Coturnix japonica: one gene and its partners. The protein of the gene in region 1 interacts with the protein of each later gene in a pairwise test. Links are inferred from orthologs where the notes say so. Each region holds a gene or a part of one and is shown in the gene's direction. Other genes may lie near its edges.

Region 1 (4,000 bases):
TGTAGGGCTGGTAATGTGGGAAAGCAACCAAAGGCCAGGTAGTGAAAGAAAACATGGGTAGCAACCTTCCCAGCTCACCTTCCTCACTCAGAGCTGCATATGGTGCTTTAGTGTCCTCAGAGAATCACGAGGGGACTGAAAACATCTGTTCCCCATGGGTTTCATACAGGGCTAGGTGAGGACCAGAGGAGCTGCTATAAACATACAGGGCCAGACGTGATGGAGCAGGGCTGCCTTCTCATTTGGCTGATTTAGTTCAGATAAAACATAATGCAAACCTGCTTGAAAACCTTCCCAAGGTGAGGCTGTTTACTAGGGCCGTGAGGCTGTGTAGATGACCCACTAATGCTCTCCTCCATTGAGTAATGGCTGCTCTTGCATCTCCTCACAAACCACCCCAGGCCAATGTTACAGCTCAGCTACAAAGCTAGCAGGGTGTCAGGGACACAAACACACAGCCCTATCTCTGTGGGGCAAGTAGCAGGCAGGGAGTTTTCCACTTATCTGAGGGAGCAGTGACTCTCCTCAGCAAAGTTCTGCCCTCAACTCTGCTGGACGTCGTCTGGAGGGGCTGTTAAGAACGCACAGGGAGAGCGGACAGGACTTCGTGTGGAGGGCATAAAGAGCTGTCAGTAACAAAGGAGGCGTGGTGCTTCAAAGAGAACACGCCACGGAAATGTGAAGCAGAGAATAGAACCAGCGCCACCGCCATTTTACGGCTCCTCGTTCTCCGTGCCTCTCACCATCTCTCCCTTTTCGGGCGTCAGCCAATGGCGGCTCAGCGCTCACACGGTTACCACGCCACCAGCCAATCGGCGCGCAGAGCTCACTGGCTGTGTTGGCGGGCAGGAGCAGCAGCCCCCCCACATCCCCCTGCGCTCCGCGGCGGGCGGGAGGAGTGTCCTCAGCTGCTGTATCACGTGGCCTCCCATCTCGGCTGGGCGGTGTTTGCGCGGAGGAACACCATATAGTCCCTCTGTCTAGGAGCCCACGATGGAGGGAAAAGTTATTGCTGACAGCTTTTTTGGTTAATCTTTAGCAGGATGGAACGAGAGCGGCCCAGAAAGTTGAAGGTCTACAGGCTGAAGGGTGCTGACGAGAGGCGGGTGACGAAGAGCGGAAGGACACATCAGGCCGGATCTCGTTTTGATTAGCGTGAAGGTATATAAAAGCGGAGCGCGCGCGCTGCCACCTCATTGTGTGCCCTTGGCTGAGCTGACAGGTTGTAACTGTGACCGTGCGTAGCACCTCTCCGCGCGGCGCTGACCGGAGCACCAACCAACCCCCCCCCCAGCCGCCATGGCTCTCTAAGGGCGGCAGGGCCAGCGGCGGCATCGGCCAGTGCAGCGGGCGCAGCAGCAGCGGCGGCGGCCTCGGCACATCCCCGGCATCTGCAACCATGGCGTGAGTAGCGCGTGTGGGGAGTGCGCCTTGTGTGACAGCCACCCCCTGCTTCATAAAGCGGGGTTCTGGGGTGCGAAACGGACGCCCCATAGGAAAAGCTGTCTGGTTAATAGGGTGGGGGCTGGAAACCTACTTGAGGGTGACGGAAATGGCAGGAAATGACACTTTTAAGAGGAAAAATGAGCCATAATACCCTGTATTTTAGAGAAGCCCACATCCTGAAAGCTCAGGGCTGTTCTATTTTGTAAGGCTTTTGTGAGAATATTAGCTCCCTAGACGGTTGTCTTAGTAGTATAGGGGATTGTCTTTATAGAGGCGTTCCCACAGCGGATGGAGGAGTTAAACGGGGCTTCCAACGAGCGGGCATTAAGATAATCCCTTAATGCTACGGCGCTGCTGGCCGGGGGAGGAGGAGGGTTGTGGGGGGAGGGGGGGGGAATGGTGTCGAACCCAGCCTGATAGAAGGGTGTAAGGCTGTCGTGGTATTTATCATCCGAATCCACCTGGTCCATAAGTCAGCCTAGCACCAAAAGGTGCTCTGTCGTTCTATCGTCCTGTCACCTTCCCCTCCCCCCCACCCCTCCACGTTGATGGCGTTCCCATCGACACGGGGTGAAAACGTGTCACGGCACAAAATGGCGGCGGGGCCGGGTGGGGAGCGGTAGGCGGCAGATCGCGAAATGGCTGCGGCGTGGGCGTGACGTGAGTCAGGGCGCGGTGGGCGGGGCCTCGGCGGGGCGTGGGGCTGGCAATGCCGTGCTGGGCAATGGAGATGCGAATAGAAAAGCTTTTATGAAAGCAAACAAATAAAAAGCAAGAGTTTGAGGCAAACAGCCCTGAAAATGCTGCAGTCGTACAAGTCTGGTGCAACAGCACTCTCCCTGAGGCTGCGTTTTGTTGTGAAGGCTGTTTTTCCAGTAGAACAAGCACTGATGCATGCGAAAAATGTTTGTCTTACAGGTTTTTCAAGGCACCGCACAGCAGCACTGCTGTAGTCAACAAAAAGGCCCTCTCCTTGTCTACATCCTTTGACGTCAAAGCGCTAAAACCTGACCAAGATGAGCCTCTTGAACAACGAGATGCTGTTGGGGGAGTCCTCCCCCCTCAGCCAGCCGTGTTTGGTGGCTGAGGAAGGTCTGGGACTCCTCGATGACTACCTGGAGGTGGCCGAGCCCCTCGGTTCGCATGGGTTCTCCAGCGACAAGGCTAAGGCAGTCTCCTCCAATTGGCTCACTGTGGACAGTTTAGGCAACACCATAGATAGCAGCCAGGGTAAGGCACTAATTCATGTGCAGGAAGTAACACCAAAGGTGATGGCACATAATAAATAATGTAATCCTCCTGTTCAAAGATAAATTGCACGAGTTCTCTAAATGGAAAGGTAACATCACGTATGTGTCTTCTGGCCTGGGAAGCATCCATACAACACTGATTATACACAATAGCAAATGGCTCTGTAGTCGACCAGCCTGTGGAAAAATGACACTTGCATTGCCCTTTTAATAACATGCCAACTATTAAGAGTAGCCTTCCCTGGAAGAGGTCACAAGAAACAAGTGTGGTGGTGTGTTTCAAATAGGCCTGAATTCTTAGAGAGCTAAGACTAAGAGGGATGGAATGTCAGCAGCTGACAGATACATAGTATCATGCAGACTTCCCCAGTTCATAGTAGGGGGAAGGGGTCTGGTAGTCGATCTTTTTACCATTAAAAAGAATGGGGGAAGATATAACTATTTCTGGTATAACTGGTATAGAATCTCTGTGTTGGCTCATCGAAAAATATACTGTTTTTCTCCTTGTTTAGAGGATGCCTTCTCTGGCATGGAGTGGATGGTGGAGAAGATGGATCTGAAGGAATTTGATTTTGATGCCCTGTTAGGTATGGAACATCTGGAAGCCACCGTCTCACCAGACGACCTGATGGCCACGTTGGAAGACACGTGTGATCTCCTGTTTAACCCTACCACCCAGGAATTTCACAACAAAGAACCTCCACTCATACCTGATCTAATCACCAATCTCCCCGAATCTCCAATTGGAGTAGATCCCATGGCCCCATTAGGCTCCCTGTGGCCTTTTCCCCTCTCCCCAGGGTCTCTGACTTCTGTTCCAGACCATTCATTTAGTTTAGAACTAGGTAGTGAAGTGGATGTTCTGGAAGGTGAAAGGAAACAGGAGGCCCCCACCTTTCTGGTAGTGATCACGAAGTCAGAGAAAGAGGAGGAGAACCATTCTGATGATAGTGGAATATGCATGAGCCCAGACTCTTATTTGGGAACGCCCCAGCACAGTCCTACCAATTCACTTGGATCCCCTAATGACAACCAGTTCCCTGCAGATGCCACCCGTGGCTCTCTGCGTTCTAAACCATATGACCACCCTGCTGAGAAGGTAGTGTCAGCAAAGGTGAAAGGAGAAAAGAAAATAGATAAGAAATTGAAAAAGATGGAGCAAAATAAGACTGCTGCCACACGTTACCGGCAAAAGAAGAGGGCAGAACAGGAGGCTCTGTCAGGGGAGTGCAGAGATTTGGAACAGAAAAATCAGGCCCTGAAAGAGAAAGCAGATTCCCTGAGTAAGGAAATCCAGTACTTGA
Region 2 (3,931 bases), on another chromosome or scaffold:
TCAGCAGCAGCACTGCACATTTGATGAAAGGAGGATGTGTGTCTATTTTTGGCTTGTGAGGCACAGCTGTCTATTATATTGTCTCATAAGTCAGGAAGGGCAGAGCCTGGAGTATGAGGTTACATCTCTCTTAACACGTCCTGTATTTCTTAATAAATGGACTGAAACACAAGAATATCAGTAAGCTCTTAGCTGTCAACTAAAGCGAGGCTTTTCTGTAGCAGTGTCTCTGAATGTCATAGAAACTTCTCAGCACACAAGGTGATGTTTTAATGTATGGTAGCACTATGCATAACTGAGAAGGCACCTTTGAAGTCTAGGATGGAGGGCACCTTGAAAAATGCTTAACATGAAATTAATACTGAAAAATGGTTGATATAGTGAATATGGTGATAGCCAAGGAGTGATTCAGGTTGGATAACAGGGAAAATGTCTTCTCCCAAGGAGTAGCGAGGCACTGGCACAGGCTGCCAGGGAGGTGGTGGAGTCACCATCCTTGAAGGTGTTCAAGAAACGTGGCACCAAGGGATGTCATCTAGTGGGCATGGTGGGGGTGGGCTGATGGTTGGACTGGAGGATCTTAGTGAAGTTGTGGTTTGACTTCAATGGATCACAGACTTGCAAAAGTAATAGCGATAGGACAAGGGGGAATGATTTTAATTAAAAGATTTAGATCAGATATCAGGGGAATTTTTTTCGCTGGGAGAGCAGTGAGGCCCTGGCACAGCTGTCTGCCTGGAGGTACCTGAGGCCAGGTTGGATGGGACCCTGGGCAGCATGAGTTGATGTGGGGCAAGAGGTTGGGGCTGGATGGGCTTTAAGGTTCCTTCCAACCCAAGCTGCTCTGTGACTCTATGAGAAGTAATGGAAGCACACACAGTGCAGACACTGGTGCCAAGTTGAAACTACATATAGACAATGAGCAGCGTGTTTCCTCGTTGTGTGCGTGCCGTGCTGAATTCAGAAACGATCTGCAGTCGGGGCTTCGGGTCCCAACCTCCATCTCCCCCTGCTAGTCCAAAGCCCGTACGCTGCAGGCTTGAGGCTGCCCCCGGCTCGCAGGAGGCCGGCCCGGAGGAGGGGCGGCGGGTGCCGTCGTGCGGGCCGCGCCCCGTGGCTCCGAGCCGCCGGGGGAGTGGCCGGGGCCGTCGCTTTCCGCCCCGCTCGACGCGACCGGGGGGAGCCGCTTCGTCCCGCCGGGGGGCGGGATGTGGCGGCCGCAGCCCCGTTCGGACGGCACCGACAGGCGGCGCCGCGGCAGCGGGAGGGAGGAGACCGGCCCAGGTGAGCGGGGCCGGGGGCTGAGGGGCGGCCCAGCGCCTGGGAGGGGGGCCGGGGGCCGGGAGCGCAGCGGGGCTGTAACGGTGCCCGGTCCGTCCCGCAGCGGCTCTCCCCGAGGCAGGAGGGGCTCCGAGTGGGATCCGAGCTTCGGGTGGGTAGGGCGGCTTTGGGACGCTCGGTGCGGGCGGAGGGGTTAGATACAAAGACTCGTTGCTTGCTTCTTAGTTTCAAACCCGCTTTGCTTGCTTAGTTTTCACTCCCCGGAGTTTTTGTCTTGGCGAGGGTTAGCACGGTGTTGCCTAGGAAACTTTGTTATAACTCTGAAATAACACTTTTTTTTTTTCCTTCCTCCTTGTTTTAACCCCAAAATTCCACCTCTGTTAGTGTGGAAGCAATTATATTACTACATAAATGTGTGTGATTTGTAGGTTTGTATGTATATACACAAACATATATAAGTGAGTGTGTATATGTATATACATCTACATAACCAACTGCTGTGAGGGAAGTAGACATGCTCTTAGAAGTCAGCAGTCTGGTATCTCCGAACTTGGTTTAAAAAGGAAGCTGCCATATTCGTGGGGAAAAAGCCACGTTTGTGTGTCAGTCCTTGCATAAATGAGCACTGAATGGTGTGGCTGGCAGAGCAGGTGAGCTGCTCTCCCCTCTATTGCTCAGCTGTCAGCCTGAGCAGGAGTCATTTCTGATAGTAGTACCGGTGAGGGGCTGGAGCTGTGGGTAACACCAGAAAATAGCTCGATCTTCTCAAAGGGATTCAGAAGGGAAGGCGTAGAATGCATCAGGCACATCAGCTGACTTTCTGGCTTTTTTGGATACACAGTACTGCAAAGCAAAACTTCCTGCAAACACTTGAGTTGTCCTTGCCAACATCTCAATGGAGAGCAGCTCATTGATGTTGGGTAATCCGTGCTAATCTGTGTGTACATGTGTTTGAGTAACTTTTTGCTGTGCTTCTGAACAGTGCTTTAAGAGCTCTTTAGTGAAGTGCCTTTATAATAAAAGCTTTTCTATGCATATAAGTGAGCATATACTGGCAAGCACTGCTGGCAATTGAAAATAGAGTTTTGAAAGAGATGCATAAACTACCTTGAGATGCATTATCTCTGTTCTTGTCTCTTCATATTTGTCCGTTTACTTGCTAATTTGCAATTGGCCTTTCAGTAACTTGTGAAAATGGAAGAAAAGTTCCTCTTTATTCACTTTTGTGTTGTGTAATTTCCAAGTCTAGGTAGTTATTTCATATCAGTGTTCCCCCATATTATTGCTGAAATCAAAGCTGTGGTTTCTTTTGGGAAGAGACTGATGGTGGTGTTACAGCCCGAGTTCCAGTCATCATTTCCTATCAATAGGATTTTTAGGCAGTTTTGAAACTAAGAAGAAAGGTGTTTAAATATGTGATTTAAAGAGACAACTAGCTGAGCTTAGAGGTCTGTGATCCTCTAAAAAGTGGGACTGGTGGATGTAAAGGAACCCACAGATGTTCTGTGCATTTGATATTGTCGGTGTCCATCTCTGTGTGTTTTTTCTTGCTTTGTGTTGCTGTTAAACTTACTCATTTTTTGTGTAGTTCCTTTAGATTGGCCAGTGAAAATAACCTACTGGCATACACTGTACTACTGAGTTACACAGCAGCACAACACTCTGAAGTGTGGTCATAGACAAGCACTGTATTGCCACTGGCTTCTTCCCTCTTTAACTTCACATAAATCAACCTTTGTTCCCTTCAGCAAAATGAAGTCAGAAAGTTTGGGCCTAAGACGCTGCCTCTGGAATTGTAGTGGAGTCGTGCAAGAAAAGAGGATTTATTAACACCAGTATGAATTAATTGTAATGAACAGAAGGACGGAAAAGCACCGCAAACAATGTTTTGTACTCACAAAAGCAGAGCACCCTGAAGGTTAATTCTGACTTTGTTCACAAATTAGGCACACTCGGGTAGGTTTTTCTTTTTGCTCACCGTAGCTCAGGCCTCCTGCAGCTCTCGAACCACCTGACCTCCCAGTTGGGATCTACTGGAGTGTGTGGTGCACCCTGAGTGCTCATCAGGAGTTAGGATTTTTCTTTTCATTTTGGCATTTGGTTTTCTTGAGCAAATGTTCATCCCAATTGAGTGGCGGGCAGTCTGCAGCCTTTCCTGCTTTTGGATGTTGTACATATTAACACCTCCTGTGACAACAGCTTTCCTTGCTTCCTTTGGAGTACCAGGCCCAAAGGTAAACAGGGAGGAACCTGTGGTGTTGCCATAGAGATTTCCGAGTTCATCCTTAGCTCTTTGCAGAGAGCAGCCCTTTCTTGCTGTGTCACCTGGATTAGGATTGAGCCTGGGGTATGCTGTAATACTACTCAGTGTTCTCGAAGGCAAACTGCTGCAAAACCCTTATGTGTGAGGGATGAATGTGTCCTTTGTAAATCAGCAGTCACACAGGAAAAACTTGGCTCTCTGGTACTGAACAAAGGCTGCTGTGCCTGTGTGAAGTTCTGTAGTATCCTTGTTTGGAGGTGCTTACTTAATTCAGTGTAACATTTAACAGTGTGCTTTGTGCTCTGTTTTGTCATATAGGCACAGGTTGTGTTAATTGCTCACCTGAAAAGTGCTGTCAGGGAGAGATGTTTCTTTACCAAGTCTCCC
Region 3 (4,004 bases), on another chromosome or scaffold:
ATGGAGCTAGGAAGCTGCTTCTAACACAGACGACTTTCAGAGGCTTTCCTATACACATGCAGTAACTGCTGCTGGAGCTACAGAGGCAGCTGGAATTACCTGCACACAGGTGCTCATTGCCTACCTGAAGGCTGTGCACACACCTGCAGCAAACACTAAGGCCCACATTTGTGGGCAAACTAATTCACTTGACTGTTAGCACAAACATGCACAGGTATTGGCTGTGTGATTCCAGCACATGGGTGAAGTGGATACACTGAGTGCAGCCAGGTGTGCACAGCAGGGAGGACCGGGAGATGACTCTATAAAAGGAGCAGTAACTTCTATCAGTCAGTGCATCCAGACATTCACTTTTAATTCACAGCTCTTTTTGATTCTGTTTATTACATTGCTCCCTCCCGTACTTTAAGTGCTAATTATGTTATTACATCTAGAAGAAAAAAAATAGCACTTAAGAGTTTTAAAGTGCATTTTCAAACCGAGACTTAAGTTTGTCAGCTTCGTATGTCACACAAAGCGATGGAGCCCAGCAGCGAAGCAGCAGCGGCAGCACTTGTTGCCCCGGGTTCCCGTCCCGTCCATCAGCCGAGCTGCGAGTCCCCGGTAGCTGTGGAGCAGCACAAACCTCCCTCCCCGACCGGATCCCTCCATCTCCAGCCGTTCCCCTTGGCCAAGCTGCGCTCACACACTAATACCAGCACAGCTCTACAACCGGGAGGACAACTTTAGGAAAACCCATCCAGAGCCAGGCTCCTTCCCGGCAGCTTTTTCCCCTCTCATACTTTGGGGAGCTCCCGGCCCTGGGAACAGACACAGCGCTCACCGCAGCGGCTGAAGGCAGGCGGGGCTGAGGGCAGCCGGGCCGCCCGTCCCCGCCCGCCGGGGCTCCCCGGGACGGGAGGAGACGAGGCCGAGCCGCCCCCACCCCAGCGCCGCCCGCCCTGCGCTGTGCCCCCGTGCGGGGCGGGGGCGGCCCCGGCGCTGTGCGCGCCCGCCCCGGCCCTGCCTGGAAGCGGCGGGGGCAGCGAGGCGGGGAAATCACGTGAGGGCTCCCCCGGAGCGCCACCTTCAGGGCCGTACCAACAACGGGACCGGGGGGGGGGAGGAGGCGGCGATGCGGCGGGACTCAACGCGACGTGGAACGGAGGAGCGCGGCCCGGCCCCGCCGCACGCAGCATCTCGGCCCCGAGCGCAGCACAACGCACGGGCTGAGGGCGCGGGGCGGCTCGGGGCGGCATCGCGGTGCCCCGGTACCCGGTAGGGCAGCGGTTGGTTGGTACGAGGCCGTCGAGCCGCCCAACCCCGCTCGGAGCTCGGGCCGCGGTAACCAGATATTCAAAAACAAGACGTCAGCCCACAATGCCCCGCGCCGCCGGCAGCATTACCTCATCCCACAAGGCCCCGCGCCGGCGCTGAGAAGCTTCTAGGGGCGGGGTGTCCATGGCGACCGGCTGCCATGCACCGCGCCGGGCCAGCGCCACGCCTCCCCCGGGACGGGCGGCGGCAGCCAATGGGGAGCGCGCGGGGTGACATCATGGGCTATTTTTAGCGGGCTCCCGGTCGCTGATAAGTGAAGGGCTGCACGGAGCGAGCGGGCTCAGAGCGGGGCGGGCGGCAGCGAGAATCAGCCGCCACAGCGGGCACGGCCGAGCGGAGCGCGGAGCCGGGAGGTACAAGCGGCAACGGCGGCAGGAGCGGCCCGGCCCGGCACAGCGCGGAGAGGCGGCCCGGGGAGCAGCACAGCGCACAGAGTACAGAGTACAGCGTACAGCGCACAGCGCACAGCGTAGGCCCGGCGGGCCCGGCCCGCGCCGGGAGGAGCGGCGTTGTCCCGGCGAGAAGTAAGGAAGGCTCCGGCTTGCTCTTTCCCCCCAAGCCGCTTGGCCGGGAGCGGTGTGGGGCGGCTCCCGGCGCCACTTTTTGGGCTCTGTTCTATGAGTGCAAAGATGGAGCCTACTTTCTACGAGGATGCACTGAACGCCAGCTTCGCGCCGCCGGAGAGCGGCGGTTATGGATATAATAACGCCAAGGTGCTGAAGCAGAGCATGACGCTGAACCTGTCCGACCCGGCCAGCAGCCTGAAGCCGCACCTGCGGAACAAGAACGCCGACATCCTCACCTCCCCCGACGTGGGGCTGCTGAAATTGGCCTCCCCGGAGCTGGAGCGGCTCATCATCCAGTCCAGCAACGGGTTAATCACCACCACGCCGACCCCGACGCAGTTCCTGTGCCCCAAGAACGTTACCGACGAACAAGAGGGGTTTGCCGAAGGCTTCGTGAGAGCGCTGGCGGAACTGCACAACCAGAACACGCTGCCCAGCGTCACCTCGGCCGCGCAACCTGTTAGCGGTGGCATGGCACCTGTGTCCTCCATGGCCGGCGGCGGCAGCTTCAACACGAGTTTGCACAGCGAGCCCCCGGTGTACGCCAACCTCAGCAACTTCAACCCCAACGCGCTCAATTCCGCACCCAACTACAATGCCAACGGCATGGGCTACGCGCCGCAGCATCACATAAACCCCCAGATGCCAGTGCAGCATCCCAGGCTTCAGGCTCTGAAAGAAGAGCCTCAGACTGTACCTGAAATGCCGGGGGAAACCCCTCCCCTGTCCCCTATTGACATGGAGTCGCAGGAGAGAATCAAAGCCGAGAGAAAACGCATGAGAAACAGAATCGCGGCGTCCAAATGCCGGAAAAGGAAGTTGGAAAGGATTGCCAGGTTGGAAGAAAAAGTGAAAACTTTGAAAGCCCAGAACTCAGAGCTGGCATCCACTGCCAACATGCTCAGAGAACAGGTTGCACAGCTTAAGCAGAAGGTCATGAACCATGTCAACAGCGGGTGCCAGCTAATGCTAACACAACAGTTGCAAACGTTTTGAAGAGACTGACTTCAATAGGAACTGTGATGTTGTGGTATAACTAAACGACAAACCAAAAGCGGCGGACGCGTAAAGCTCACGGTAGAAGCTGGGAGGCTGTGAGTCCTGCCTGCGTGCTGCAAAGCACATGTGTGCAAAGACTGGGCAGCCTTCAGCTCGAGTTGGTGAAGCAGCCGGCACCGCTCCGAGGTGCTGATCCTGCTCCCATGAGGCGACAGATCTTCGTTTAACATTGACCAAGACCTGCATGGACCTAACATTCGATGATCATTCAGTATTAAAGGTTAAACTGCAATAGAAACTGTAGATTGCTTCATGTAGTATTCCTTAAGAAACAAACAAACAAACAAAAAGCGGGAGGGAGGTTTGTGGGAGGCTGATAAACAACCAAGAACTGTTGTTCCTGCCTTCAAGTAAATGGTGTATGTACATATCCTTTTTTATTTTATTTTATGAAAGTTGATTAATGTCAATAAACTACTTCATGACTTTGTAAGTTATTTTTATGTTGTTTATTTGGGTACTGCCCAGTATTGTTTGTAAATAAGAGGCTTTTTTTTAGCACTCTGAGTTTACCATTTGTAATAAAGTATAATTTTTTTAATGTTTCTGTTTCTGGAAAAAATCTAGAAGGTTCTATTATATTTAAAAAAAAATAAAATACTTAAAATGCATTTCCTCCTCACACCTTTTTCATTATTATTATTATTATTATTATTGCTAGTATGTGAGTTAGGAAAATGCCCTTAATGCTGGACTCTAAAGGGCAGGGATTATGTGAAACTCGCTCTGTAAGTGCAGGCATGTCCTGGAGAACGTGTGAGGAGGAGACGGGGGGAACCAGATCCTGAGCACTGAGCAAACAGAACTTTTTGAGTTGTCTGGGAGTTCCAGTTCCTAACCTTAACCTGGGAGGTTATTGTGTGTTGTAGTGGCCCTGCTGGGGCGGCTGACTTTGGCTTTAGGCAGGCTCTAGAGATGGTAGAAAGCCGGTGTGTGAAACTGCTTTGCACTTGTATCTGGCTGCTTGTGCTCTTGCATGCTTTTTATTAAGCCAATGCCCTCGAGCAGGATCAGGCAAGGGGCTGTTTGCTTTCCTTTGCAACAAAAGTGCTCTAGACTTCA
Region 4 (4,004 bases), on another chromosome or scaffold:
GCAATAGCAAATTGAACACAGCTCAAACAATGTGAATTCTCCATGTATTCCACATGGTTTTGTTGTGATTTTCATCTTTTTTTTTTTGTGCCAGGGGTGGATTCATTGTTTGACCAGATGTAGGCAACACCCAGCAAACACTACATGAAATATACCTGGATGAATAGCCACACTAAAGCACAAGCCAGGGAATATAAGAGTGAAGAGAATCATAGAATGCCTTAGGTTGGAAAATTCCTGCCAAATCACCCAGTTCAAACCCCTGGCCATGGGCTGAGTTGCCAACTACCAGATCAGGGCCCAGAGCCCCATCCAACCTGGCCTTGAACACCTCCAGGGATGGGGCACCAGCACCTCACGGCCCTCTCAGTAAATAATTTCCTCCAAACACCTGACTGAAATCTCTCCTTTTTTAATTTAAAGGCATTCCTATTTTTCTTATCGCTATCAGATAACGTTAAACGTTAGTCCCTCTCATGCCTAAGGGCTCGCTTTAAGTGCAAGAAAGCCACTAGCAATCGAGTTTTCTTCTAAGGCAGCGCCGTGCCAGCAGAACATCTGACCGAGGAGCATTGCCATCCCATAGGACGGGCACTGCCATGACATCTCCCAAAGCATCACGTGAGATTCGGGTCTGTAAGTCAGCCGGCTGAGACACGCACGCCAACTATTTCGACACCCGTAGTATTAACGGGGGTTACAGTGCAAGAAACCACAGGTACCAGGGAATTACAGTACCCTGGGATGAGAGCCTGATGTAATAGGAAAGCACGTGTGGAGGACGCAACCAGAAAGAGCCTGGAAAGGTGCCTTTAGTGTCAATGTAGCAGACTGCCAGTGGCTCGTAGCCGTGTTTCGGGACCGGACTAATAACGTAGAACACGAAAAGAAGGTGAAACCACACACCTGGGGAACGTACCGAGGCACGGACAGAACAGCCGGCCGAGAGCACTGCTGACAGAACAGCCGGCCGAGAGCACTGCTGACAGAACAGCCGGCCGTGAGCAGTGCTGACAGAACAACCGGCCGTGAACAGTGCTGACAGAACAGCCGGCCGAGAGCAGTGCTGACAGAACAACCGGCCGCTCGCGGTGCCCGGCGCCGTGGGAGGGTCGCGTTCCCGGCACCGCCGCCACTGCCGGGAAAGGAGCCGCCTCCGCGGGCACCGCTGAGTGGCTGCGCCGAGTCGGGGCGGAGCGCGGCGGTCGCCGCTGGCTCGGCCCGGGCCGGGCCGGGCCGTCCCCGTCCCCAAACAGCGGCGGAACGAGAGCGCGGGCGGTGCCGGCCGAGCCGCCACAGCTCCACAGCTCCACGCCGCCGTTCCCGAGTCCGCGCCGCCGCCCCGCGCCATGGAGATCGAGCTGCCGCCCGCCGCACAGGTGAGGGCGCCGCGGGCACCGGGCGGGAACCGGGGCTGCGCGCCCCCGGCTCCCCCTCCCTCTTGTCCCGGCCGTTGGGGCGGGGCGGGCCGGGCGGTCACGAGGCCGGCGGGGCACGTGGTGCCGCCCCGCCCCGGGGGCAGCGCTGAGTCACGGCGGGGGCCGGGCCCCGCCCCCTCGGTACTTTCCCCGTCTCCCGGGCGGGGGGTGCTTCCCTGCCCGCTGCGCAGTTCGGGGCCAGGTCAGTCCGTGGCGAGGGGGGAGCTCGGCCCGGCCCGGCCCCGCCCCGAATACTTGTCCGGTTCCTTCTTGAGGGCCTCCCGCTGTCACGCGGCCTCAGTGGGGGCAGTTGCACAACCGCGTGTTGCCCGTGTCGGGTCGTGGGGTGCGGGGCGAGAAGGGCGCGGGGAGGGTGTGATTCTGTGAGGGGCCGTGGGGGCCGCGATGGAAGGGACCCCGCATCACTTCAGCGTCCTCCTCGGTGTGGGCCGGGGCGACTCTTGTGTCTCCTCCTGTGGGGCCACCTGTCCGCGTTGTGCTGCTCGAGCCCCACAGCCGCGGGTTGTGTCAGATCTGTACTGTAAAGGCGCTGTGTCTTTAGGTAGCTAATGGATTATCTTTTATTGGTTAAATGGAATGCTGGATGGGATTCATTTGGGATGTTGTCTATTACTAATGACACAGGTATCAAAACTGCTGAGGAAAAACGCTCTGGAACGTGAGTCAAAGTGTTTCAAGTCAAGTTCACAAAAGCATTATGTACCCATAATTGTTTACTGCTTCAGTAAGCTGAAAGGTGCTGAAATGGCTGGGCCTGGTGCTTCTAGCCTTGTCAGACAACATGACAAACTCATCAGCTCTCACTAAGCACTGAGCCTTGTGAGAAGGTGAGCAAGATTACTTTCTCATGTAGTGTTTGCACTGAACACTAAAAGTGAAGGCCAGTGTAACCATGTACTTGAGTATCTGCTCAGTGCGTGGGTTTTTCTACCTAGAAAAGAGTTTCTAGTTACATTAGAGGTATCTCTTTAGTCTGTAGGGCTTTACACAGGTATCACATGTCTGTTTTTGTGACGTACTACATAAGGTTGTCTAGTGAATGTCTGTTCCATAATGGGCTGTTCTTTCCATACGACACCGATCATGCAGGAAGTGACAAATGAGTGCACCGCTCAGGCCTGACAACAGGCCTTTGATGTGTTTTTTAGCTCAATAACTGTTAAGCATAAGTGTCTGTAGATAGATTAAGATATCTGTATGGATACCTATTTGTCCATCTATATATGTGGATACGTTTCGGTATCAGAAAACATCTATGTTTTTTGTTGGTCTCTCAGAAGGAACTGAAGGCTGAAGGAGCTGGGTGGTTCAGTGTGGAGAAGGGGAGGCTGAGGGGAGGTCTCACTGCTCCGTACAGCCGCCTGAAAGGTGGTTGCAGTGATAAAGGTGCTGGTCTTCTCTATCAGGTGACAAGAGATAGGATGTGAGGAAACTGCCTCAAGTGGCACTGAAGGAGGCTTAGATTGAATATCAAGAGCATGGAAGGGGTGGTTAGGCATTGGAACAAGCTGCTTGGGGAGGCAGTAGAGTTGCCATTGCTGGAGTTATTTAACAGACCTGTGGATGTGGTTTGGCAATGGACTTTGTGATGTTAGGTGAATGGTTGGACTTGGTCTTAGAGCAATCTTAATGATTCCATGACTCCTAAAATTACAGAGAAGAGTGGTGGAAGTAATAAGAATACTACAAGCACTGTCTTAAGTAGAAATGCATTTTTTAGACCCTTTTAATTCTGATGTGCCTACCCTGCTTATCATGCTGCACTGAAAAATCTTTCCTCAGAACTTCAGAATATCTCTCAGTTAAACCAGTGGTAGATACAATGCAGTGCAGTACCTGTGGCTGAAAGAAATGTAGACTAATAAAAGATGACCATGAGAATCCTTTCAATGCAACAGCTAATTGGATATTTTATTATTGTAGTACATATCTATCGTATGGACGCTGTTCTGTATTTTGTATTTAAAATGTGCTGGGAATTTACATTGCATGAGAAGTTGTTTGAAATACAAGGAGTTGGTTGCATTTGAAAATGGGACTTGAAGAAGCTTGCGGTTAGAACTCAAAGTAGGAGAGCACTTTGGCTTTGGAAGTTGGGGTTTTTGTTTTTGGTTGTTTTTTTGTTTGTTTGGTTTTTTTTTTTTTTTTGGAAAAATATGTGGAAGAGACCAAACTGGGACAAAATAGAACATTCAGTATAAGCAGAGAGCAGCTGGATCATCTCGTGCTTTAAAGAACTTGAGACATTTTTATAGGAGTGTGTGGGTGGTTGGGAAGCTTTGTGTATGTTTCCCACCAGAGTTCATGAGCTAGAATAAAATTTGGCTCTCTGTCCATTACTTTTTTCTTTCTTAAACCGAAAAAAGCAAAGAGAGTATAGCACTTATCCTAAATGACAATACAGAAGGTTATGTATCACCATGACAGCCAAGATCACTGTTAAAATTATCAGATTATTATTAGCTATTCTTGCCCCTGAATACTTCAGTTCTTATAGGTTTTTTCCTCTTTGTCTTGAATTTGCAGAGCGAAATGCTGTGTGCTCCTTTCATGATCCTGGCTGAA
Region 5 (3,940 bases), on another chromosome or scaffold:
CCACTGGGGTCTGCAAACTCAGCAGGGAGGCAGCAGGAAAGCTGGGACAGAGCAGGACGATGAATGAACCTAACGCACCCATGAGGTCCAGGAGATGGGCAACCCACCTGAGCGATAACATTGCTCAGTGACTTTTTTTATGTTATCTCTCTCAGATAGGAAGACCTGAGCTCTAATTTTAGCTTTGAAAGTGTTTTACAAGAGCAGAAACCAGAATGGCCTTTTTTCTTGCATAAATGCCCTAACAATTACACTTTGGACACGCAGCTGCTCTTCTCCAGCCCAATGAGTCCCGAATTACTTCCCACAGAGCAAACAGCCTCTTAAGAAGGTGAGTGTCCCCTTTGTAGGAACAGAAATCTCCGCAGTGTTTTGAAGCAAACTGGCATTTCAGTCCTACCCAGTTAAGCAGCAGATTGCAAGCTGTAATAGTAGTGTGGGAATAGGAAAGGCGAATGAACCTTAAATGGTGGGTTAGAAATGGACCGATACAGGCAGAGGGTAACATGGAGTGTGGAATGACTTTGCTAAATCGAGGTTCTCTCTTTGAGTGAACCTGAACAGTTACCACGGGACCAATTTTGGGTTTTGCTCTATAAATTGCCTTTCTCACTTTGCTCAGCAAGTGGAGCGGCTTCTGTCCCTTGAGGCCTCAGCCTTCTCGGTGTGTCAAGTGGAGACGTGAAGGGTGCGGTGTCCCTGATCTGAGACTGCTGGGCCAGGGCTGTCCATAGAATGAGGAGGGATTCAAGTCCCTGCATCAGCAAAACGCAGAATGGGCATGACCACAGCTCCACAGCTCAGAGGTTGGTTTTACTTAACTTTAAGTAACATCTTGCTGCAGGAGGGCCTGTCAGGAGTAAGCGAGCAGCCAGTGTGTTTGTAATTCATGGATGGATGGATGAAGGCAGGAGATCATCCAGGCGTCAGCGCAGAGAACACGGCTGGCATTTTCACACGTACGTTGTCATGAATTCCTGCCCCGCTGTGCCCGTAAACACCATTGTGCTGTTCATCTGCCACATTTGCAGCAGCAGCAGCAGGGAGATTTGCCCTGAAATGGATTGCTGACCCAGCTGCCGCCGGGACAATGCACAAAGCCCGCCTTCCAGAAAGCCGTCGCACAAAGCCGAAAGCCCCACCGAGCCCCGACCTGCTGGGCTCGGCACATCCCTCCGCCAGTGCGGGGCTGGCGGCGGGGCTGAGCGGGCGGCAGCGGCAGCGGCATCATGCCCTTGCCCAGGCGCCGGTCGTCCTTCCTGGGGCAGCAAGCCCCTTCCTCCACCGCCGACAGCGTGGGGGGCCCGGGGCGCCGGGTGAGCGTGGGCAGCCTGTCGAGGCCGCCCGGGGTCTACGTGGGTGCCGTGCCCACCGGAGGAGTGAGCAGCTTGGGCACCCGCGTGTCCCGCCGAGCGCTGGGCATCAGCAGCGTCTTCCTGCAAGGGCTGCGCAGCTCCTGCTCCGCCGTGCCCCTGTCCGCGGGGCTGGAGAAGGGCAGGGGGCTCTCCTACGAGAGCCTGAACGGCTGCCTGGTGGAATACATCGAGAAGGTGCGGGCCCTCGAGCAGGTCAACCAGGAGCTGGAGGAGCACATCCGAGTCTACCTGGACAAGAAGTCCTCCAGCGTGGGCAGCTGGGGAGCGCTGCGGGAGAGCTGGGAGGCCGTGTACCACCAGGTGAGTGCGAAACACGGCTTAACCTGATGGTGCAGCCAGTGCGGAGGGTGTTAAGTCTGTCCTTGTGATAATTGCAGCCTTATCGCTTCACAGCGTGCCGTGGAAAATGCTTATGTTAAGGAGGAGAATTGCCTGAGGCATCCTGTGCATGGGAGTGATTGAGATTCACCCCAAGGTGCCACACTCGGCTCCTATGGAAATGGGACAATTCTCTAATATTTTTCTTCCTTAGCTGTGGTTATTAAGCCAAGAATCAAAATTATTAACAGGAAACTGCTAGGACTGAATTAGTTTATCCATCATCATGATATCATTACAAGCCTGTTAGTCATGTTGGTGCTTTAGGTTTGTTTTAATTAGCAATTCAGATTTTTACTTTCTTCCCTCGTTTGCTTGATGACACTTCCCAAAAGCTCTATTTATTGCAAAATAATCATGACATGACTGCAAATGAGCCACTCCATCCCTTCGCTTCCCACTCTGGCCACCCCCTGCACCCACCTCTCTTGATGTTTTACAGCAGTCTTAGAGGGGGCAGTTCCTTTAGGACCCTGTTGGATCGTCTTTGGGAAGCTTGAAAGGCGGCTTCTCATTCCCCAAGAACTTCTGTGCTGTGCCACGGGCTGGCCAGACTTACACCTCTGGCTTAGGAAAGAGGGTGTGTTGTTAGTGTGCTGCACTTTTAGGGCTGCACCCAGAATGCCTCAGATGCCGTCTGAACCCCTTGTGCAGTGGGATATTCTATGACAGCGTAAACCTCCACCACCTTCACATTCAGCTGTGAGGTGGGGTTGTTAGCTTTTAACTTTGCGTGCAGGCAACATTTCAGGTTTTACAGAGTACATATCAATCTCCCCAGCCTCAATCCAGGTGCTACTCTTCCCAAGGCAATGCAACAAAAGGCCACTCTTGCTGCCTTCATGCTTTTCTCCTTTGGGCTCTGAAAGAAGGCTGAGCCGTGAGAGGCTGGCTAAAAGCATTGCAACTTCAGTGCTTGGCACCTGATCAGCAACATGAGCCATTAGTCTGGCCTATAGGAGTGTGTTGGAGACAATGGTCTGATAGAAACCATTTATTTCAGCATTTGGAAGAAAAGATTAAGCCATGAGCTTCTGAAGTTTTCCTGTAAAGGCATCTTGCGTAAAGTTAAAAGCCTGAATATTTTCTGTTACATGAAAAAGCAACACATGAGACTCGTTAACACACCTGAGACCATGGACTCAGCAGCATCCAGAAAGGATGCACTGAACTCAGCTTCTCTGCTTAGTGATTTACATCCCTCTGAACTGCTCCGTACATATTTGCTGGCAAGATGTTCCCTGTTTCCTCGAAGGCTTTCATTTTCCATAGACATTTGGTCAGATACTGCAGCTGCGTGGGCTCACTGCTGGAGGCAAATGGACTTGTTTTGGCAGGTCAGGGCAAATCGCAGGGCAGCGTTTGTTTACGCTGAGTAGAGCGAGGGGAAAAGTAGCAGCTTCATCCATTCATGTATGAGTGGCAGCAGGAGGGCAAAGTACAATAATTTCTGGAGAAACTAAGGGGAAAAAGCAGATTCCAGGATCAGATTTTCTAGAACTGAGGAGAAGAAAGAAGATTCAGTAAGTGTTGGTCCTTTCTCCATCCTGGAAGGCCCCACAGCCCCAGAATGCCCCAGAAGGGAGTACCTGGGGCTCAGTGCTGGTCCAGGGAGGCTGCAGTGGAGCAGGGAAGAGGAAATAAGAGTCTGAGTGCTGAAGATGAGCCATCTCTGTGTGCTGGAGAGCACGTAAAGTTCTTGTGGCTGGTCTGGCTGCTGTGCCACAAGGCATTTTCTCTGCCCGCACCTGTAGCTTTTGTAACATCTCTGACTTCTGCGCTTTGAAGGTTTCTCAGACCTAAAGTGAGGCTTTTTTTGGCCCTGTACTAACTTCCACCATGGACACCTCAGTGTGGGGCGTAGGTTATTCCTCCAGCTACCTCCTCGTCCTTGAGTTTGTAAGAATTCATGGCAGTGAGCCACTTTTTGTAATGATTGATGTTAATTACAGGTACCAAGTTTTCAGCATTGCATTTCCCCCTCCACCCCTTTAGTGAGCAGCAGGCGTAGGAGCAGGTAGGAGGACCACACTACAGCACTGATCCCACTGGCAGTACTTAGGATGACTTGTCTGGACACAGCCTGGATAACCCATGTTGCACAGTGTGTTTCACCTTGGGAGAACAGAACACTTCAAGGGATTTGCCATCCCATACAGTCACAGACTTAATTATCCAAAGTAAGA
Region 6 (4,213 bases), on another chromosome or scaffold:
ACAACGTCCCCACGGCGCGGTCCGGGCATTACAGCGGCCGGGAACGTGTGCGGGGCCGCCAGGGGAGGCGGCACACAACTGGCTATAGCAGCAGTGTCAGAGCAGCCGAGTAACCAAAACAACCAACACGATCTAATTAACAAATTATTATTGTTTGTACCGAGCCAAACGTTTGGAAACGTCAAACTTTGGGGAGAAGGCAGAGCCCTTTATTAAGGGTCTGATGTGCCTGGGACTCCACATCCCCAAGGAGCTGCGGCCAGCGGAGCCCCGGGCTGCCGCTATTGTGTTTGCTGGGTGGTGGTGGGTGGCAGCCACAGGCCGACATGGAACCGGGCAGCTCCGGCCGCTGGAGAAACAGCAGCGCTGGGAGAAACCAGCCCGGAGCTGCCACATGAGCACCAGAGAGAGTGTCCCACTGAAGAAATAGCTAACACAGCATGGGGAAGCTCCAGTGTCAGGAACTGGGGGAGATCTGTGCATCAGGGCTAACAACAGCCTGCGAGATGTGACACTTGGGTTCTGTCTCCCTGCTCAACCCACGTTCCCCTTCACTGAGAACTTAACTATCCCATTACTTTTCAATTTAATGGAACGCTTCATTTTTTCCTTTGGATTGCAGGGGCATAGATAGAGATTTTATGCATATCTGGGAACAATACTGAATAGTTTTGATAGTAAAGAGAGAATAGCAAGTGAAACCTGGTGCTGTGAAGGAACTTGCCAGGCGTTGGTGGGCTGTGATGCTCCCAGGGCAGGGCTGCCTGTTCTCTGCAGTGAACACAACACAGGTGGTAGATGTGGCATCTGAGCGAGCTGGGCTGCCCAGCAGAGCAGTGCCATGCTGGAGTGGAGGCCTGTTGTCTGATGTCTGCCCTGACATCCTTCTGTCCTGAAATATGAAAACAGGAAAATGCATTGAGGGGTGTGGTTGTACTCACACGACTCTCACACCTTTTTCATTGGCTTTAAGGGAGTGACCGAAATGGTGACAGAATGTTGATTTTGAATAACACTGAAGCCAAACTACTGGGCTCTGCTGTGAATGTCACTGAGCCGCGCTGTGCAGCTGCACTCAGTTCAGGTTCCTGCAGATGATGAAAGAAAATGTGCAATTGACAGTAACATTTTTATCTCATTAATGATAACCCAGCAGAATGTAAAATGACACTGAGGTTGTGGTGGAAAACATATACAGGAGCAGCATGCAGCTGAGGAGCCCCTGAATACAGGCTGGGCATTGCCACACAGGACTACAGCCTCCTGTCAGATGTAGGGCTGGGCTGGGCACTGCTCAGCTCGCCTTGTGCTCTGCTGACCTCAGCTGCTCTTTCCCAATGGCTCCTCCTGGGGACAGGAGAGGAGCTGTGGCAGCACCGGAGTCTTGTACCTCCAGCAGGAGTGGGAGCAGGCAGAGCCCCAGGTGGGAGGGTGTCTGTGCCACAGACTGTCTGCATCCTGCTGGGGAGGAGCATGGACACTGATGGCTGGGAGAGACACAGCGGAGGAAGTGTGTTGTGGGCAGGTCAGCTGTGGTCCATGTCTCCTTGTCAGTCCTGTCTTTCAAGTGCAGTGATTCTCACATTGCTCTCACCCTGCTTTCCTGTCCCACCTGCCCTCACAGCAGCGTTAAAGGCTTGGCTGGCTTTACCTTGTTTGTGGCGGAGGGTTTCCTTTTGGGTCATTCAGTCACAGCCGTCACAGCACGCACCACCTCTTCTTGTGCATTTTTGCACTGAGTTCTGCTGAAACCTTAATCATCAGTTTGGGCTCCATCTTCAAAAACAAGTAAAATAATCTCACAGCCAGTGAAAGCACTGGAAGATGTGGTGAGATGTTCAAGGGAGCGTGAGCTGTCTCTAGAGAAGAGCAAAGACCACCAAGGAACGTGCATGGATGCAGAAGGATGGTCTGGAGGAGACAAGGATCAAGCACTCCTGTTGGCCAAGAGTGAGGCTGTTAATGGGTTTAAGCTGCAAAAGAAAGAATTCAGTCTAAAAATTAAGAAAATTATATAACTGGGAGAAAAGTTAGACAGTGGAACTAGTTGCCAAGACAGAGGTTGTGAAACGAGATTTTTCAAGGCTAGGCTAGACACCCATCCATCAGGGATGGCTTTGGAATAACTGAGTAAATGCAGTGAACAATGCAAGCAGCTTGACTGGATGACCCAGTAACAGTCCCTTCCAATCCAAATATGTTCGAGAGGCTTCTGAAATGTCCCAGCAGTTGGCAGCCGTTCCACTTCCAGCACAGTTTTGGTGTGTTGCTGCCAGATGTGCCATCGGTACGTTATGCCAAAGGCAGCCATGTGTAAGACTGAACACAGCACCTTTAACAGCATTTGTTTTTCCTTCAGGGTTCACCTTGCCCTTAACCCATGTGGAGACCTGCTGGAAACACGATCTAGAAAAGAGTTCTCAGTCTTCTGATATTCGGTTGTGTCAAAGAAGAGCCCGTCCAAATGAGCAAGACATCCCCACAGAACACTGCTACAGATGCGAACGGAGTAAGCGTGATTCACACCCAGGCGCACAGCAGTGGTTTGCAGCAGGTTCCCCAGCTGGTTCCCGTTAGTCCTGGTGGTGGAGGCAAAGCTGTGCCTCCGAGCAAGCAGGGAAAGAAAAATTCCTTTGTGGATAGAAACAGTGATGAGTATCGTCAGCGCAGAGAGAGAAACAACATGGCAGTGAAAAAGAGCCGGTTAAAAAGCAAGCAGAAAGCACAAGACACGCTGCAAAGGGTCACCCAGCTCAAAGAAGAAAATGAACGTTTAGAGGCGAAAATTAAGCTCCTGACCAAGGAGCTGAGTGTACTGAAAGACTTATTCCTTGAGCACGCACACAGTCTCGCAGACAATGTGCAACCTGTTGGCACTGAGAGCACCACAACGAATCCAGAGAACAGTGGGCAGCAGTGACTGCCACAGCACGGCGGGATGAACTCTGGAGGCGCAGCCTGTCTGCACCACCCATGCAGTAACTGAACAAATAAGGGGTTCTTTTAACCATCATTGTGTGCTGATCTTTTTAGGTTTAACACTGAAGATTTGATACAATTAAACCAGAAACTGCTTAGGGTATTTCTTTAAAGGCGTTAAATATTTTTCTCTTCTAGAAGATTTGTGTAGTAAGTGCAGATCTGAATCCTTAGTCAGCAAGGAGCTTACTATTATGGAAACAGCATTTCACAGATGTACAGTCACCTTCTTACATTTAGCATAGGGAGAAATTCATCAGGATGGTTCACTGTAGAATCAGAAAGTCATAATTGGGTGAATTCCTTTAAATACATTTTAGTGCATTTAAGCTGTTTCTTTTCTCCATTACATATTACAAACTGCAAAGACCGTAGGGAGTTTGTTGTCCTGTTTGGTGAACTGCTTTTCTACCTACAGAGCAATTCCTGCAAAGCACTACCTAGGTTTTTCCTATCTGGTTACAGTTAACAGGCAGGGCACAGTAATAGCAAGCTGGGGTACTTATGTTGTCTAGAAGAACAACAACATTCTATAATGATCTTTACAGGGAGTTGGCTTCCACAGGGCAAGCAGTGGTCTGAAGCACTAAGTATCAGGTAAAGCAGCACAAGGCCTTTTATGCCTGCGTATGTTAACCTGGCTTGCATGGTTATGAGAACAAGATTTTGGTTTCTAAAACATGTAAAAATGCTACCAACAACCTCTGCTCTGCAAAGCCGCATTCCTGCTGGGGTGGCGGTATCAGGGAGAACAAAATGCGCAGCTTGGCTGAGCAACAGAAGGGTAGGGCAGCATCTGAACAGCAAGAATGTGTGGATCTCAGCTTGCTTCTGTTCATTTCCATTCTCGCAGCCATTCAGCCAAGCCTGTACAGAAATGCACAGTGATTTGAAAACTAATGGCCCTTGTCTGAACACTTGATTCAGCAGAATTTCTGTAGCCATCACAGTTGTGTGAAGGAGTTTCTTCAGTCTTATTTCCATAGAAGCTTTTCTATAGCAGTTTTTCAAATGCTAGTGATAAAGTCTGCCATGATCCATAATGCAGTGGTATGAACTATATATTGAGGATTTTAAAAGCAAAAGTAAAGCAGGAACTTTGGCGTAACCTTAATTTATTTTCATTTTTAAGTATTTCATTGATGGTATGGTTGTGTTACATTTAACCTGTGTGTCTGGCTAGTGGATTATTACACTGTCTTAATTTCCCTCCTACACTACCTTTTCCCCCTAT
Region 7 (3,237 bases), on another chromosome or scaffold:
GTGGAGGTTTGTGTTCATTTAGAAGAGGTATAATTGCTAATTGTGCTTTTAAGTATTAAAATCACTCTGACGTTTGAAGAGATAGATTGCTCCTATGCAAAAATATGCATGTGAGCTTGGGTGGTTTAAATTCCGGGTCTTTGTTATAGAGCAAAGCAAAAAGGTCAGGATTTACTGTTGCACTAAGTTCTGTCTAAGAAAAATAATGAGAAAATCTCATTTGATTCAGTAGATTTGTACTAAGCAAGTTTTTTCATCCTTAGATCATGAAGCTGCACTCCTGCAAATACATCTGTTACAATCTGAAATAGAGGCATGTAATAACCAGGCACTGGAGAAAGAAGAAACAGCAAGAAAGGAAATAGAAGAATTGAAGTTACAGATACAGGAGTTCCTATTGGCCAGAGAACATGAGAAAAACGTGAGAGCCGATTACAAAGCTACTCTATTTACACTTCTCAGGAAAATAAGTAGGTGTGCAGGAGATCCCACTTCTGGTACGCCTTGGTGATATGCCATTATTTGTTGTTCCCCATCTTCTGCAAGAAAGCTGTGTGCTGTCACAACTGTGACTAGTTTGTGAAAGACACCAATTTATTTTATTTCACTTATAAAATGTCTTGAGGGGATTAAAGGAGGCAGAGACCCAAAAGCACCAAAAAGCACACACCACTGAGTGATGTGGAATGGATTATCAGTACTGCTTTCTGGTTTACAAAACAAGCAATGGGTCACAGTGAAAAAAGAACCAGAACCACCGCTATCCTCCCACTCCCACACACCAAAACAGACATACAAAAGCAATTAAGTTTTGCTTTCTCCCTGAAGACTGTTAATGGGCTGCAAATATCATACCTCTGCAATTTGCTGTTTTCATTTGTGTAGGTTTCAGAACTAGAAGAATCAGCAAGAGACTTGGATGAGCACTTACATCTTCCAGAAAATCGTGTGATAGAACAGAATGGAGAGGTAACAGCTACAGATGTCATTCAACTTCAGAAGGATAACAGAGAGCTGGAACAGCAAGTTGTTGAGAAAAACAAGGTAAACTAAAAAGCAGGAGTTTCTGTTGCAGTTAGGAAGCCTAATAATAGGTACCAAAGCTTTAGAAAGGCCTGAACAGGCTTACAATCTTGAGAGATCCAATCTGAATCCAGCGTTCTATGAGTGTTTCCCCAGCCTGGACTGTAAAAGCAGTAGTGAATGGAAATTGCAGCCAGAATTGCAGAGAAATCTCTGTGACACTTTCTGCTTCTGCTCCTTACCTATTCTGGAGAAAAGAAGCACCAGATGACACCAGTTACAGCTTTCCTGCTTCCCTTTTGTTTGAATTTGATTAATTTCTATCATGTTGTCACACTGAAGCCCAAGTTTCCTATTGCACACCTGCTAACATTGGCAGTTAGAATTGTGAGTTGTCCAGATTGCTTCTTTGGAGCTTTCAGTTTCTTTAATGAATGCTTTATTCTTTACATTCATTCACCTTGTTTTCTCTTCAGATACTTCTGTGTCAACGTGTGCCCGAACACTGAATGCTGTATTAATGCCATCTTTTGCTCTGCTTACAGATGATAAAGCAGCTACAGCAAAGAATGACAGAACTGAAAAAAACTCTCCAGAAGGAGTTGGTAAGTGTTCGGTTTCTCAGTCTCCCCAGCTGGCATTTGCTGAAAGGTACTTACAGTAGAAATTCCAAAGACTTGATTGCAAGCCTCAGTTTGTTTGTTTATTTACTAGGAATGCTCACAGTTTCGTTGTGATTGCAGACAAATCTGTGCACCCTTAATATAAGGAAATATGTCATTCTGGGTCTGTATTTACTTTATAGGTGATGTGTTGGGTAGCCATCACTATTCAGATACTGCAACACTGGATTTCAGCTAGGGACTTGTATCTGGTAGTGTCTGGTTTTAAATGTTTCCATATATTGGATGACTGAGATTTGTGGTTGCTTCTCGGCTGTCATTCAGCTAAAATTCAGCCACAGGAGGAAGCTCTTCTTAAAATAGTTTCCCTCTCCAATAGAAAGTCCCTGTATTGTAAACATTTTCAAAGAGGGTTTAAAATATTCAAATTTTGTGATGTTTGGTTTTTTTGCCTGAACTTGAGAATTGCATTCTGTGTATTTGAAAAGCACAGAACAGGTGAAAGAACAATAATCAGATGTCAGTTTCTAGCCTGGAGCCAATTCTCCTGGTTTGGATCTTACAGATGTAACTGACAGCAATTAAGATCTCTCTAGGGAGGTGTAAAGATACACTCCTCTGCTGTCATCACCTGAAGAATGAGAAGCTTATCCTACTGATGCCCTGGTTGTACCCGTCTCGTGGGTACAAATGCTCTGTGTATTTGGTATCTCAGACCCAGATTTTCTCCCAGCATCAAACTGACACAACTGATTTTTCTTTTTTTCTTTAGAAAATAAGGCCGGACAGTGAGGTACCCGAAGTACGTGAAAAAACAAATTCTGAAGTGCCTAATGCTTCTGTGACTGTCACAAACAACTCTGATTTAAATGACTCGAGGGAGATAAACTTTGAGTACCTTAAACATGTTGTATTAAAATTCATGTCCTGTCGGGAGTCTGAGGTAAAGAATCCTGGGAAGATGGGTTGGGTATGCTTGTCTTCTAAGTCTCTCTGTCTTTAGAAACTGGCAACTGGTACTTCCATGCCAGCTCAGTAGTTCTGCATATAAAAAGTAATTGATGCAGCACAATAAAGCAAAACAGCAGCATGTTTGGGAGCACAGATCATTAGGAACTAAATGAAAGGTGGGAGTGAGTTATGTCTAGAAGTTAAAGACATGAAGCTTCGAGGCATTCCCTCTGTACTAATCTAAAAAGCATATGGAGTATATGAGGTTATAGTAGCTGTGTACATAAGAAAGATAGCAAGAGAAACCAGAAAGGATATAAAGCACACGCTGTTGAGGTAATACTTATAAGAGATAATTCCTTGTGCATTTGGAGCTCCTTTATATTCCCCAAGTAATAGGGCATAGTGGAAGGTTTTACTGTTCTGCTCTTTGCAGTTTTAACTGAAAAGTCTGTGACTGAGCCTGCAGAAAAACTGTCACACTGTAGTCCAGAACACAGAGGCTGAGAGCATCACAAGCAGTAAGACACTGTGGTCTCTTGCAGGCATTCCATCTTATTAAGGCTGTGTCTGTGTTACTGAATTTTTCCCAAGAGGAAGAAAATATGCTTAAAGAAACCCTGGAGTACAAGGTAAGGAT

The links.
Region 2: the proteins of ATF4 (region 1) and DISC1 interact in binary tests that used the Homo sapiens proteins (3 or more experiments, as listed by UniProt). The link is inferred for Coturnix japonica from reciprocal best matches to the Homo sapiens genes ATF4 and DISC1.
Region 3: the proteins of ATF4 (region 1) and JUN interact in binary tests that used the Homo sapiens proteins (3 or more experiments, as listed by UniProt). The link is inferred for Coturnix japonica from reciprocal best matches to the Homo sapiens genes ATF4 and JUN.
Region 4: the proteins of ATF4 (region 1) and NFE2L2 interact in binary tests that used the Homo sapiens proteins (3 or more experiments, as listed by UniProt). The link is inferred for Coturnix japonica from reciprocal best matches to the Homo sapiens genes ATF4 and NFE2L2.
Region 5: the proteins of ATF4 (region 1) and BFSP2 interact in binary tests that used the Homo sapiens proteins (3 or more experiments, as listed by UniProt). The link is inferred for Coturnix japonica from reciprocal best matches to the Homo sapiens genes ATF4 and BFSP2.
Region 6: the proteins of ATF4 (region 1) and CEBPG interact in binary tests that used the Homo sapiens proteins (3 or more experiments, as listed by UniProt). The link is inferred for Coturnix japonica from reciprocal best matches to the Homo sapiens genes ATF4 and CEBPG.
Region 7: the proteins of ATF4 (region 1) and GOLGA1 interact in binary tests that used the Homo sapiens proteins (3 or more experiments, as listed by UniProt). The two-hybrid records come from large-scale screens. The link is inferred for Coturnix japonica from reciprocal best matches to the Homo sapiens genes ATF4 and GOLGA1.

Annotation. Positions count from the first base shown.
Region 1 is NC_029516.1:46,171,320-46,175,319, reverse strand, and holds the start of ATF4 (cyclic AMP-dependent transcription factor ATF-4), read left to right. Parts: upstream 1-1,200; 5' UTR 1,201-1,404; intron 1,405-2,364; 5' UTR 2,365-2,462; coding exon 2,463-2,676; intron 2,677-3,208; coding exon 3,209-4,000. UniProt on the Homo sapiens protein: Transcription factor that binds the cAMP response element (CRE) (consensus: 5'-GTGACGT[AC][AG]-3') and displays two biological functions, as regulator of metabolic and redox processes under normal cellular conditions, and as master transcription factor during integrated stress response (ISR).
Region 2 is NC_029518.1:35,652,806-35,656,736, reverse strand, and holds the start of DISC1 (disrupted in schizophrenia 1 protein), read left to right. Parts: upstream 1-1,131; 5' UTR 1,132-1,208; coding exon 1,209-1,284; intron 1,285-1,315; exon of another isoform or gene 1,316-1,432; intron 1,433-2,098; exon of another isoform or gene 2,099-2,176; coding exon of another isoform or gene 2,177-2,201; intron 2,202-3,931. UniProt on the Homo sapiens protein: Involved in the regulation of multiple aspects of embryonic and adult neurogenesis. Required for neural progenitor proliferation in the ventrical/subventrical zone during embryonic brain development and in the adult dentate gyrus of the hippocampus.
Region 3 is NC_029523.1:23,599,187-23,603,190, reverse strand, and holds JUN (transcription factor AP-1), read left to right. Parts: upstream 1-1,410; 5' UTR 1,411-1,934; coding exon 1,935-2,879; 3' UTR 2,880-3,504; downstream 3,505-4,004. UniProt on the Homo sapiens protein: Transcription factor that recognizes and binds to the AP-1 consensus motif 5'-TGA[GC]TCA-3'.
Region 4 is NC_029522.1:14,053,032-14,057,035, forward strand, and holds the start of NFE2L2 (nuclear factor erythroid 2-related factor 2), read left to right. Parts: upstream 1-1,204; 5' UTR 1,205-1,349; coding exon 1,350-1,379; intron 1,380-1,502; exon of another isoform or gene 1,503-1,620; intron 1,621-4,004.
Region 5 is NC_029517.1:39,194,949-39,198,888, forward strand, and holds the start of BFSP2 (phakinin), read left to right. Parts: upstream 1-1,140; 5' UTR 1,141-1,229; coding exon 1,230-1,676; intron 1,677-3,940.
Region 6 is NC_029526.1:8,926,415-8,930,627, forward strand, and holds the start of CEBPG (CCAAT/enhancer-binding protein gamma), read left to right. Parts: upstream 1-1,413; 5' UTR 1,414-1,525; intron 1,526-2,359; 5' UTR 2,360-2,464; coding exon 2,465-2,920; 3' UTR 2,921-4,213. UniProt on the Homo sapiens protein: Transcription factor that binds to the promoter and the enhancer regions of target genes. Binds to the enhancer element PRE-I (positive regulatory element-I) of the IL-4 gene. Binds to the promoter and the enhancer of the immunoglobulin heavy chain.
Region 7 is NC_029532.1:8,061,999-8,065,235, forward strand, and holds part of GOLGA1 (golgin subfamily A member 1), read left to right. Parts: intron 1-263; coding exon 264-421; intron 422-885; coding exon 886-1,044; intron 1,045-1,568; coding exon 1,569-1,628; intron 1,629-2,418; coding exon 2,419-2,589; intron 2,590-2,818; coding exon of another isoform or gene 2,819-2,836; exon of another isoform or gene 2,837-3,134; intron 3,135-3,142; coding exon 3,143-3,229; intron 3,230-3,237. UniProt on the Homo sapiens protein: Involved in vesicular trafficking at the Golgi apparatus level. Involved in endosome-to-Golgi trafficking. Mechanistically, captures transport vesicles arriving from endosomes via the protein TBC1D23.